Linked DNA regions of Callithrix jacchus. The protein of the gene in region 1 interacts with the protein of each later gene in a pairwise test. Links are inferred from orthologs where the notes say so. Each region holds a gene or a part of one and is shown in the gene's direction. Other genes may lie near its edges.

Evidence for each region. The genes of interacting proteins can lie anywhere in the genome.
Region 2: the proteins of YWHAE (region 1) and KIF1C interact in binary tests that used the Homo sapiens proteins (3 or more experiments, as listed by UniProt). The link is inferred for Callithrix jacchus from reciprocal best matches to the Homo sapiens genes YWHAE and KIF1C.
Region 3: the proteins of YWHAE (region 1) and HDAC4 interact in binary tests that used the Homo sapiens proteins (3 or more experiments, as listed by UniProt). The link is inferred for Callithrix jacchus from reciprocal best matches to the Homo sapiens genes YWHAE and HDAC4.

What each region holds. Positions count from the first base shown.
Region 1 is NC_133506.1:66,853,330-66,857,071, forward strand, and holds the start of YWHAE (14-3-3 protein epsilon), read left to right. Parts: upstream 1-1,227; 5' UTR 1,228-1,339; coding exon 1,340-1,403; intron 1,404-3,742. UniProt on the Homo sapiens protein: Adapter protein implicated in the regulation of a large spectrum of both general and specialized signaling pathways. Binds to a large number of partners, usually by recognition of a phosphoserine or phosphothreonine motif.
Region 2 is NC_133506.1:106,566,696-106,570,437, forward strand, and holds the start of KIF1C (kinesin-like protein KIF1C), read left to right. Parts: upstream 1-1,081; 5' UTR 1,082-1,282; intron 1,283-1,433; 5' UTR 1,434-1,534; intron 1,535-3,299; 5' UTR 3,300-3,420; intron 3,421-3,665; 5' UTR 3,666-3,692; coding exon 3,693-3,742. UniProt on the Homo sapiens protein: Motor required for the retrograde transport of Golgi vesicles to the endoplasmic reticulum. Has a microtubule plus end-directed motility.
Region 3 is NC_133507.1:160,740,899-160,744,640, reverse strand, and holds the start of HDAC4 (histone deacetylase 4), read left to right. Parts: upstream 1-1,542; 5' UTR 1,543-1,585; intron 1,586-3,742. UniProt on the Homo sapiens protein: Responsible for the deacetylation of lysine residues on the N-terminal part of the core histones (H2A, H2B, H3 and H4).

The sequences.
Region 1 (3,742 bases):
ACTATTCTATACTATGTACTCCACACCATCCTCTTCTAACAATTTCCCTGCTCCCATTCATGGCAGCCTCTGGGGAAAAAAGGTTAAACAGGAGAAGATAAAGATGAGTGTGAGGGCAAAGTGGAGGCGTGAAAACTGCAGCTCCCCTGTCCCTGCCAACTGTAATAGGGCCCAGTGTTGTTTTTTTTTTCAGATGGAGTTTTGCTCTTGTTGACCAGGCTGGAGTGCAATGGCGCCGTCTTGGCTCAACGCACCCTCCCCCTCCCGGTTTGAAATGATTCTGTTGCGTCAATCTCCGGAGTAGCTGGGATTACAGGCGCCCCCCACCGCGCCCGCCTCATATGTACATTGTTTAGTAGAGACGGGGTTTCGCCAAGTTGGCCAGAATGGTCTTGAACTCCCAACTTCAGTGATCCGCTGGCCTCGGCCTCCCAAACTGCTAGGATGGCAGGAGTGAGTCACCGCGCCGGGGCCAGGGCCCAGCTCTTTACCCTGAGGGTAAAAGTGTCTGCAAAAGGCCCACGACCAGGCTTGGCGGAGAAAACCAGGACGCTGGCTGGGCTCGGTGGCTCACGCCTGTTATCCCAGCATTTTGGGAGGCCGAGGCGGGCGGATCACCTGAGGTCAGGAGTTCGAGACCAGACTGGCCAAGATGAAGAAACCCCCTTCGCTACGAAAAGTACAAAAATCAGTCGGGCGTGGAGCCGCATGCCTGTAATCCCAGCTGCTCGCGAGGCTGAGGCGGGAGAATCTCTTGAACCCGGGAGGCGGAGGTTGCAGGGAGCCGAGATCGCGCCATCGCACTCCAGCCTGGACGATAGGGTGAAATTCCATCTCAAAAAAATAGAAAAAGAAAAAGGAAAAAGAAAACCAGGGCGCGGTAGAAACAGCGCTGATTTCAGGCAGGAAGACCTGCTATGATGACAGAAACCGTCCCAGCCTCCGTGGTGGTTTTCCGCAGGCCGGACGTCGGCCGTCAGTCTGGCCCAGGTCTCGCGCCCGCGGTTTTCAGGAGCAGCCCGGGCCGGCCTGGCCACCGCCGTCGTGTTCCCCGGGGGCCGCTCCCTCGCGGCAGTCGCAGTTCCCGCCTCTAGGCCCCGGCGCCCGCTGAGCGGACGGAGGAGGGGCGTCTCCGGCGCAGGTTCCAGGACCCGCCCCCCGCGCCAGTTGCCAGGGAGCGGTTGCCATAGAGCTGAGCAGTTGTCCGCGTGCGCAGGCGGAAGTCCCGGATTGAGGCGCCGCCATTTTTGCTGCCCGGACGCGGAGCGAAAGGCTGAGAGAGTCGTAGACACTATCCGTTTCCATCCGTCGCGCAGACCCTGCCGGAGCCGCTGCCGCTATGGATGATCGGGAGGATCTGGTGTACCAGGCGAAGCTGGCCGAGCAGGCTGAGCGATACGACGGTGAGTTGTGGGGGCAACGGGGGGCTGGAATTCTTGGACCCTCTGCCGCCGCCCACAGAGGCCGGGAACGGGAGACAAAATGGCGGCATCGTCCGCGAGCGTGGCCCGGGGACTTGGGTTCGGGGAGCGGAACCTGGCTTGGGAACTCCCGGAGCGACGGGAGGCCGTGTGCCCCGGAATGTGACCCCTTCGCTGTCCTCAGCTACACATACCTCGCGGGCCGAGAGGCCGGGGTGGAGGAGTTGGTTGTAAAATGGCGGCTGGGGGGAGGGCGAATCCCGGGGCGGGGGAGGGGGAGGAGATGGCGGGCGCTGCCGCGGAACCGGCCACCCCCAGGGAAGCTTCCGGGACGGCCTTGGGAGGTGGAGAACGATTGGGTAGGGTGACGGGGGAAGCAGCACCCTCCACACGGGAGAGCGCCAAGACCGGGAGCTGTAGCGCGGGCGCCTTTCAGGGAAATATGGCGGGTGGGGGCGGTGGCTTCTCCCCGGAGGCTTCGTGTGGGGCGGCGGCCGTGGAGTCTCACAAAGGAGAGCCTGGAACGCGATGCGCTTCCTCGGGCCTGGGTCGGGAGGCCGCCCTGGGTGACAGCGGGGAGCGGGCGAGCGAGCATCGCTGCTCTGGGTCCTGGGCGGTGGCGGGCTGCGGGGCCGCGGTCGGGTTTGTTTTGCGTCCGCCGGCGCCGCGGAGTGAGGGGTTTCGGGCTTTTCCCCCCTCGCCGCCTTCCGGGGAGGTCCAGAAGATCCGGGCTCCCGCCCCTTTTCCGCGCTCTAAATGGTGAAGCTCGAAGTTCCTGTAACCTTTCTCTGGCTCCGTCAGCAGCGGGTTCTGATGGATGGAACCAGGAGACCAGGGGGCTGCGCGACTCTGGGTTCGAGCCTTCGTCCTCGCGTTTGGGAAAACGATGACTTTACAGTTTGTCCGCACCCTCATGACACATGGGAAAAAAAAGACCTGTTGAAATAAAGTTGTTTCCAGTAGCGTTTAGTAACTGTATTTTGGTTGACTCTGCAGGCTCGAAATGCGGGTTTGTACTTCGTGGGGGACCTTTGCCTCTTCCAGGCACTCGGCTGGGCCTGGGGTCTTTGAGTTATGAAGGTTGGAGGTCCTATTCTTTTTTTTTATTATTATTTTTTATTTTAAATAAGTGGGTTTATGTAGGACTTTGAGTAGTTCCTCTTTGCTCATTGTCCCTTTGCCCTTAATTGGTTCTTCAGTCCTCTTTCAGAACTTGATCGAAATATCCATTGTGTCTGCCAGGAAGTTTCTTCTTCATCCTCCCCCCCATCCACCTTTTTTGACCTGTAGACTTGAATTTCCCTCACATTTAGAATTTTTCGATACTGTGGTATTACCGAAACCAGAAGTCCTGTATGCGGCTGCTGTGGTTTTCATGCTTTTGCATGGTACGGTGGGGTGAGACATGGTTGGAATCTAGTGTCCTTGATGTGAGATTTTTCCTGGTTAAGCTACCTATATTTCAAAATGTTTCAGAGGGCCATTGCTTTCCTGGAAATGCCGATTTGGTCATGTGAATAACCTCAGGGCTGGTTCCCATTATCAGAAATGAGGATTCAGGGATTTGAAAATAAGACAAGTCCTCTAGAGCTCAAATATACGAAATATGCTGAACTAAATTTCGTCTTGTAAATTCTTTGTTATTTGTATTGAACAAAGTTGCTGTTGGGGGAGGGAAGGGATAAAATGGGGAAGTACAGCTCAAGGTCAGCTCTCTTTATTTCAGTGTTGAAAAATCAAACAAATAGGTGTGCTTATATTGGAAGACTCCCCTCCGCCCTCATCTCCAGATGTTCCCCTCTTCATCTATTAGTGTTCTCCGTAGGAAACAAATGATACTTGAATGCTTTCTGTTTTGTGGGGATTGGGGCTATTTAATTAAACTGGCTGTGGTAACTAGAAAGAATGTGAGTTTTTTTTTTTTAAACCGATTGGAAAGCTTATGATTGTAGTTTCCAAATAAATTACAGGTTATTGTAGTTATATTTTGGCGTGAGGATTTCTGACCAGAACCTTTATTGGGTTTTGAACGTAGGATTCTTTGATACGGCCACAATATTGCAGTTATTAATGTTAGGTGTCCCTTTCAGCATCTAAAGCGGTAGGAAAATAGATCTCCAAGGTGAGGAGCTCTTCCTGTGACTTGGGCATAAGGTAAGGACTCAGTAGAAAGGGGAGGGGAGACAGACACCAGGAATCGGCCTCTGTCTTTGTCCATTCCTTTATTTAGGGCAATATTTTTTTGTTTGTGGTGACAAAAAGTTTTTCCCTTAGTTCTAGTCACCAAATGGAATTGATCAAGTGTGGGGAGGGGGTGGGAC
Region 2 (3,742 bases), about 40 Mb from region 1:
AGTGGGGTCTGAAAGGGATGTCCTGACTTCGGAGGGCAGTCAGCAGGACCTGGGGGGCAGCGGGAGCTGCGGGGCATTTGGGCCTCGGATAGTTGGGCCCGAGCGGGTGACCTAGATCGAAGGGCAGGACAGAGCTAAGGAATCCAGGAAGGATCCTCCACAGTTGACCTCAGGGTGGCCCCGGCCTGGGGAGGTGGATGAGGACCCGAGGTTCAGGCTGGGGCTGAGGGGCTGCCTGGAGCCCGGAGCCCCGAGCCCCGCTTGAGGGAAGTGCCGGGCCGAAGGGCGCGGCCTGGGCTTGAAGGAGCGACTGGGACCCTCTGCAGGTGGACCGGACGTGGCCGGACCTTCGGGGCAGTAGAGCCCGAGGGCGAGAGTGGGGACCTGCTTCCCCCTCGAAGAGGGGCCCTGAGGTGGTGGGCCCAGGCTGAGGGGCAGGCTGGGGCCTGAGGGGAGTCCGGGGCCTGAGAGAGCGGCTCCGGCCTGAGGCGGCACAGGGGCCTGAAGGGATTGTTTGGGCCTGAGGCGGCGGCCGTGGCGACGGAACTTAAGGGCCAGGCGGGGACAGAGCGCCCGAGGAGCCGCGTCACGGCTGGCCGCACTTGGCCTCAGCACCTGAAGCAGCTGCGCGGCGAATTCTAGAACTTGGCAGGGCGGGGAGGAGAGAGACTGCGATTAGAGCAGCGGGAGGAGCTGGCAGACGGCGCGCGCCTGAGGGTGGGACTTCAGCGGAGCCACCTTCTGGGCGGGCCTCGGCAGGAGGCTCCGCCCCCTGGCCTTGCCTCCGACGGCGGCGACGTGCGCGGGTCCCGGGACTGCGTCTCCCCCCGTCGGTCAGCCCCTGACTTTTCCCTGTTCCTTAGGCATCCGCAACCCTCCTGTATCGCGGTGTCTGTCCGTCGTTCCGCGTCCGGAGCTCAGTTCCCGCGTCCGCGCTCACTGGGCCCCACAGGCCGGGAGCGTTGCCCCTTTAACAAGAGAAGCCCGGGTCGCTCCCGGCCCCTTCCTGGGATTGCGCGCGCCCGCTCCTCCGCGCGTGCCCGCGCGTCCCCCGCCCCTTGCTCCCGCCCCAGCTCGCGCTGCCCGGGCGGGCGCCGGCCGCTGGCGCCGCTACTGCTGCCGCCCCCGGGGCGCGAGTCCGCCGCCCGCCGCCCGGGGACCCGGCGAGGGGCGGGGGCAGCTCCGAACCGGCCCCGGATCCTCCCCGCTGCCGCCTCACGCTTCCCGGAAAGCTTGCCCCTCTCACTCCGCGGAGCTGCTCCGGGAGCCCCGTCGCGCCGAGGTGAGGGCTGGGGAAGGGGGAGGGAAGGGACGCCCGCGGAGGAATGTGCCGGGTTGGGGGGCGGGGTGCCGGGGTCCGGGTTGCGTTTCCCGGCGGCGCGACCTAGGCTCCAGAGCCGGAATCATGTGCTGTTTGTTCCGCGGAGGCGCAGTGAGGTGCCAGGCCCGGGCGGCTGCCGGCTGGCTGGACAGGAGGACGGGTCCGCATGGCCGCCTGGAGAAACCGGGCGGGGACCTGTGTGAGAACCGCTGGGTGGGTAAGGTGCGGGTGGCCCTAGACCCCCTTTCGGCCCTGTCGGCCCCACCCCAGCCGCCCAGTATCCTTCTTGTAGCCCTCTGCTCCTTCACAGCTGCACCGGCCAACCCTGTCCCTACCTCTATTCCCTTACCCCGCCGGCTCCCAGCCGTGCCACCGATTCTCTGTCCCATTAGCCACAGCAGCGGCGTCACCATTGCTTGTCTCCACCAGTGTACTTCCCTCCCCTGGTCAGGGTTTCGGGGGTCAGGGCTGTTCTTCCTGAGCCAGCTTCTGTGATTCCAGCTACTCCCTTCCTGTCTGGGGACAGACCAGTCCTCTCACCGTTCCATACTCTACCCAGGAAGGCTGGTGAGGGGAGGTCCAGTGTGACAAGAGTTTAGGGCCCACTGGGGCCACAGGAGGGGGCTCAGCATCCCTTATCCTTCTTCATGGTCCTCCTCCCTGCGCTCCGTGGGCGTGGGCTGCTCAACCTCTCCTCCCAGGGTGTGGGCACCCGATCACCCACATTCCTGGGCTCCAGCCTGGCACCTTCCCCAGGACAGTGGACGCCATAGCACTAGCCCCAGGCTGGGACCAGCCGGCTTTCTTTTCTTTTTCTCCCTTTCAGGGAGGCCCTAGGGACCCTCTACCCTCAAAGACAGGTATTTCTGGGTGCCTCAAGGGTGGTGCCCTGAGGGTTGGTCTGATGGATACAGGATGACCCCACCCTCCCCTGCCCATTGTCCTGGATCCTGAGGAGGAAGTGCTGGGGGCTGGGCAAGGGGCTTAGAGCCCACGAAGTAGGCCCTGTGGATCCCAGTCCTGGGTTGTATTTCCAGTCCTTGGACTTTGTCCATCAGCAGTATGGGCCTGGTGTGTGGAGATTGTGGGCCCTAGGTGGGAACTGGATTCTCTCTTGCTGACAGACACTGGGGGGGGAATTTTAGGACAGTTTTTTTTTTTTTTTTTTTTTGAGACGGAGTCTCCCTCTGTTGCCAGACTGGAGTGCAGTGGCATGATCTTGGCTCATTGCAATCTCTGTCTTCTTGGTTTCAAGCGATTCTCCTGTCTCAGCCTCCCAAGTAGCTGGGACTACAGGCGTGTGCCACCATGCCCAGCTGAGTTGTGTATTTTTAGTAGAGATGGGGTTTCACCACGTTGGCCGGAATGGTCTCGATCTCTTGACCTTGTGATCTGCCCACCTTGGCCTCCCAATGTGCTTGGATTACAGGCCTGGGCCACTGTGCCCGACCCAAAGGACAAGTTTTGCATTTGCATTTTCCTCTCCTCTCATCTCTCTTCTAGGCTCCCAGTTTGTGCTTTGGCCTGAGAGTTCCCTACTCTGCCTCTTTAACACCTTGTGTTTGCTGTCCTCTTGTCTCTTCTTCCTTTCCTCTCCCCTTCTTTCCTTCATAGCATGACTGCAGATTTGCCTTTTGTCTTATTTCTCTTATTTGCTTGCTGTCTGTGACTCTCTGCCCCTGTTCTCTTTCTTACTGCCACCCTTATGTCTCTGCCCATGTGCCCCTCTCTCTGGATTGCCCTTTCTCCAGCCTCTTTCTCTCCCTCCTCTATCTGAATGTTGATTACACTTTTGAGTGACAAGGAATAAAAATATCACCGTCCCTGCCCTTGGATTCACATTGCATTCAGCCACTCCAGAGGGGCAGCTGTCCGTACCTTTCCTACCATTGCCCCCCTACTCGTGGCCCTCCAACCTGGGAACCCCAGACAGGTCCCTGGAGCTGGTGCTTCCTAACAACTCTTCCCTCACAACCAGGGTATCTCCCAGAGCCCCAGCTGGTGTGGCCAGGCCCCAGGAATAGGATGGGGCTCCCCCTACGAGGGCCGGTGGCAGCCAGAACTGATACAGCCCCTTTGGTCTGGGGCCAGGACGCCAGGTAACTCTGGGGAGACGGCCCAGGTCCCGGCAAGCTGGAATATAGCTGGGGAGAAAGGCAGAAATACCTTTGGGAGTCTCTCAAGACAGTGACATTTGGGAGGAAAGCCAGGAGGGTGAGAACTGGGTCCTTGAGAGGCTGGCTCTGGGGAGATGTGAAGAGGCTGGTTCTGGGAAGAAGCTGGGAGACAATGTCTGGGTCCCCCCAGTGGCTCTGTCCGTACCATACCTTTTTTTGTCCTCCAGCTGAGGAGGGCAGGAGTGTCTGGAGCCATGGCTGGTGCCTCAGTGAAAGTGGCCGTGAGGGTTCGGCCCTTTAACGC
Region 3 (3,742 bases), on another chromosome or scaffold:
AAAATTTGATGGCGCACCGTTTCCATCAGCAGCTAAGCCTCCAAAACCCCGTAATCGCTCCCCTGTTCAGCTCTATCTTGTTTTAAAATTGTCATTCACCATTCCTTTCCTTCCGCGTTCAGCCATCTCAGAGTAAGCATTTCTTACAATGACCAAAGTTTTCCAATTATGAGTTATTGAGACGTTTAATGTAAAATTGGCATTTTTATTTTGCTAACTGTATTTCTATCCACATAACTACAATATCACCCCCCCACCCCCGCCAAGAATCACAGGTCGAGAATGCCATAAGGACGGATCCTTGCTCAGCTCCGAGGAGGAACGGCCTACAGTCGAAGCGGACGGGCATCTCCGCCAGGCCCAGCGTCCCGGGGCCCACGCAGGCAGGGCCCACGCACCGGCGCGAGCTGTCAAAGGCGCTTCCTCCCTGGAACGCGGGGTTCCGCGTTTCATCTTGTGCACCAAAGATGAAAAGTTGTCACACTCCTGCTGGAAAGAAATGGCAACTTCACCGCCAGGAGGTGGCCACTGAAGACCACCGCCCACACCGTTCGGCTGTGGCCACCAAAGGCGCTCGCGGGGCTGCCGGGCCCGACCTTTAACCACACGAGCCCCCCCACAAGCCCCGCCGCCTTAAAACAACGCCCACCCGGCCACTGCGCCGCTCCCGCCCCCTCCACGTCTGCCCGGCCCGGGACTGGAGACCCTGGCGGCGGCCCGGACTATCTCCGTCTGCGCAGGGATGCGAAGGCCGCGTCCCACGACCCGCCGTTGTAGGCCTGACCGGCCTGCGCTCCGCACCCCCACGGCCGCGTTCCCGCCGCGGGGCAGGGCGAGGCCCGCCGCGCCTGCGCACTCGGTGACCCGGCCGCCCTGCGCCTCCGTGCGCACGCAGCACCACGTGACCTACTGCCAGTACCTAAGATGGAGGTCGCGGCGAGGCCTGGCCGGCTCCCGGCCTCAGCCTGCATCCCATTGTGTGCTCTCTAAGCGCGAATTAGGCTCGCAGACACGCGGTGCTGACCCTTAGACAGCCATGCGGGCTACTGATTGGGACGATACGGCCAGGGCCAGTGTTTACGGTCACTGCTGGCCCCGGGTCCCAGCGCTTCCCCAACCGCAAAGCGAAACACCCAGTGGCTGGCGCCTGGAGCGTCCTTCGGTACGCCCGCCCCCTGGAATTGGCAGCTCCGAGAGCCAATGAGGTCCAGGACGTGTGCGGGGAGGCGGGCATGGGTGGAGCCTCTCTGTCGCTCATAGGGCGTCCGGCCCCGCGGTTGGGCAGCTCCTGGGCGAGGGGTGGGAGCAGACGGGCTGTGCGCAGGCCCCAGAGGACCAATGGATGGCCGGCCAGGCGCCCGGGGCGGGCGGGCAGGAGGCGGGGCCGAGCCGTAATTGACGAGCTCTTCATTAGAAACCAGGCGGCGGGGCGGGGCCCGCAAGGGGAGGTGACGCAAGGCTACCGCAGCCAATAGCTGATGAGCCGCCGGCGGGCGGGGCGGGGCCGGGTCGGCTGACGGGCGTGCGGGGTGGCCTATTGCCGCCCGGCTCGGCGCTGGAGGGGGGAGAAGCATCATGGTTCAACGTGGGTCAATTTTTTGTGAATGAGGAGGGGAGGTTGTGGGGCCGCCGCCGCGGAGCACCGTCCCCGCCGCCGCCCGAGCCCGAGCCCGAGCCCGCGCTCCCGCCCGCGCCGCCGCTGCCGCCGCCGCCCGAGCAGCCTCCCAGCCTGGGCCCCCGGCGGCGCTGCGGCCGCGTCCCGGCTGTCGCCGCCCGAGCCCGAGCCCGCTCGCCGGCGGGTGGCGGCGCAGGCTGAGGAGATGCGGCGCGGAGCGCCCGAGCAGGGCTAGAGCCGCCCGCCGCCGCCCGCCGCGGTAAGCGCAGCCCCGGCCCGGCGCCCGCGGGCCATTGTCCGCCGCCCGTCCCGCGCCCCGCGCCGCCCGCAGGCCTCGGAGCCCGCGGCAGGTGGACGCAGCCGGTCCACACCCGCCCCGCGCGCGGCCGTGGGAGGCGGGGGCCAGCGCGGGCCGCGCGCCGTGGGACCCGGCGGTCCCCAGGGCCGCCCGGCCCCTTCTGGACCTTTCCAGCCGCGCCGCGAGGCGGCCTCGCTCGCCGGGGCGGGGGCGCGGGGGTGGGCACGGCCGGCAGCGGCGCCGTGGCCCGGTGCGGAGCCCGCGCCCCCCAAGCAGGTGGGCTCCGGGCCGCCGGGAGTGAGGGCGGGGGCGGGCGGGCGCCGTTTATGTAACTTTGTCAAATGCTGTGAGTTTGCAGAAAAACCTCCCCGCAGGGGTCCGCGGCCCCGCGCGTGTCGTAGCCGCCGTGAGCCCCCGGGGTTCGTGGGAGGGCGGGGGGCTGCCTGGGACCCCCTCGGCTCAGCCCGTGGGGCGTCCACAGGCCGAGATGGGGCCCGGCCCCGCTCGGGGGTGGGATCCGCGTTTCTCGGCGTTGCGAAAACACACCACAGAATCATAAGCAAATTATCTTGTATTTACATTGAGCTTTGAATTATTTGACACTGTTCTAGCGGGAGACCGTGTGTATCAGTCGGAAGGGCCGGGGGTGGAACCCTGTGTACTCATTTAATGCACATCAAAAATTTGTAATAACTTGAGGCAGCTGATATGAGTGTTTTCTTTATTGCATGTTGTAAATTGACCTGCTGTGACACAATTTTCAAATAAAGCGTTGCAGAAATTAAACTTAAGTTATTTTAAAACTAATGACTTTCTTAACTAAATCCTAATTGCATGACTGTGGAGACCTACCTAATTGCTTGCTGAGAGCAGTTCTGCCTGCCCTCGGTGAGGGAGGAAAGGGCCTGTGTAGCCACTTTGCCGCCCCGTTTTTCTCTATTCAGGCATTTCTGTTTATTCCCACAAATCGCCGAAGCAGTAAGGCCTGGGAGTAAACCTGTAAACAGCCCTGGCTCAGCGCCAGCCCAGCAGGACTGAGGGGGATACTGGCAGGTTTGCACCTTGACCTGGTTTCACTTTTTCTTTTGTAATATGATCGTGGTTGCCTGGAGTTTTAATTGCTTCTGATAATTCTGTGCATTATTTTCGGGACCGTCCAAAGAAGGCGGGTGTGGTGGTTTCAGGACCCAGCCTGGGAAGGTGGTGGCGGTGGCGGCTGGGGAGGGGGAGGGAGGAAGGGAGGGAGATAGAGTTAAGAAAACTCAGCTGCTTGTACACAAATATACACTAAAGCAGTTACAAAGCAGCAAAAGTTATTGCAGAATTTTGCAGTAACTATGGCAACACAATTACTCTATTATAATTGGAAATGCGAAATGCCACCCAGTTAGAAGTTTCATCAGGAAGGAGTTTTGGATATCAAAAATATGAGAGATGTAATTTTTTTTCAGGTAGCTCGTGTGAATTCTAAAATCTGTCTTCAATTACCTATTTTTAAGACTGATCGCGCTTTCCCAGATAGTCTACTCTGGGATCCGTGGCATCTTTCCCCAGAAGAACTCACATTTGTGTGGGAGGGAAGTATTTTCATGTCTTAAAAACACACCCCGACACATTGTAAGACTTGTATAGCTTTCTGTGTTCTGGGCTCTGATTTTAGAGATCAAATCTCGTCCTAAAAAGAGCAGTAATCTATTAGAAAAGAAGCCGCTGTACTCAGCAGGCAGATGTAACGCTGCCCTCTTTAGGGTTCTTTCTCCCTAAAGGCGAGCTGGCAGCAGGCTTGACCCCGGGGGAGCCCTGGGCTAAGAGGCGGGACTGAGGGAAGA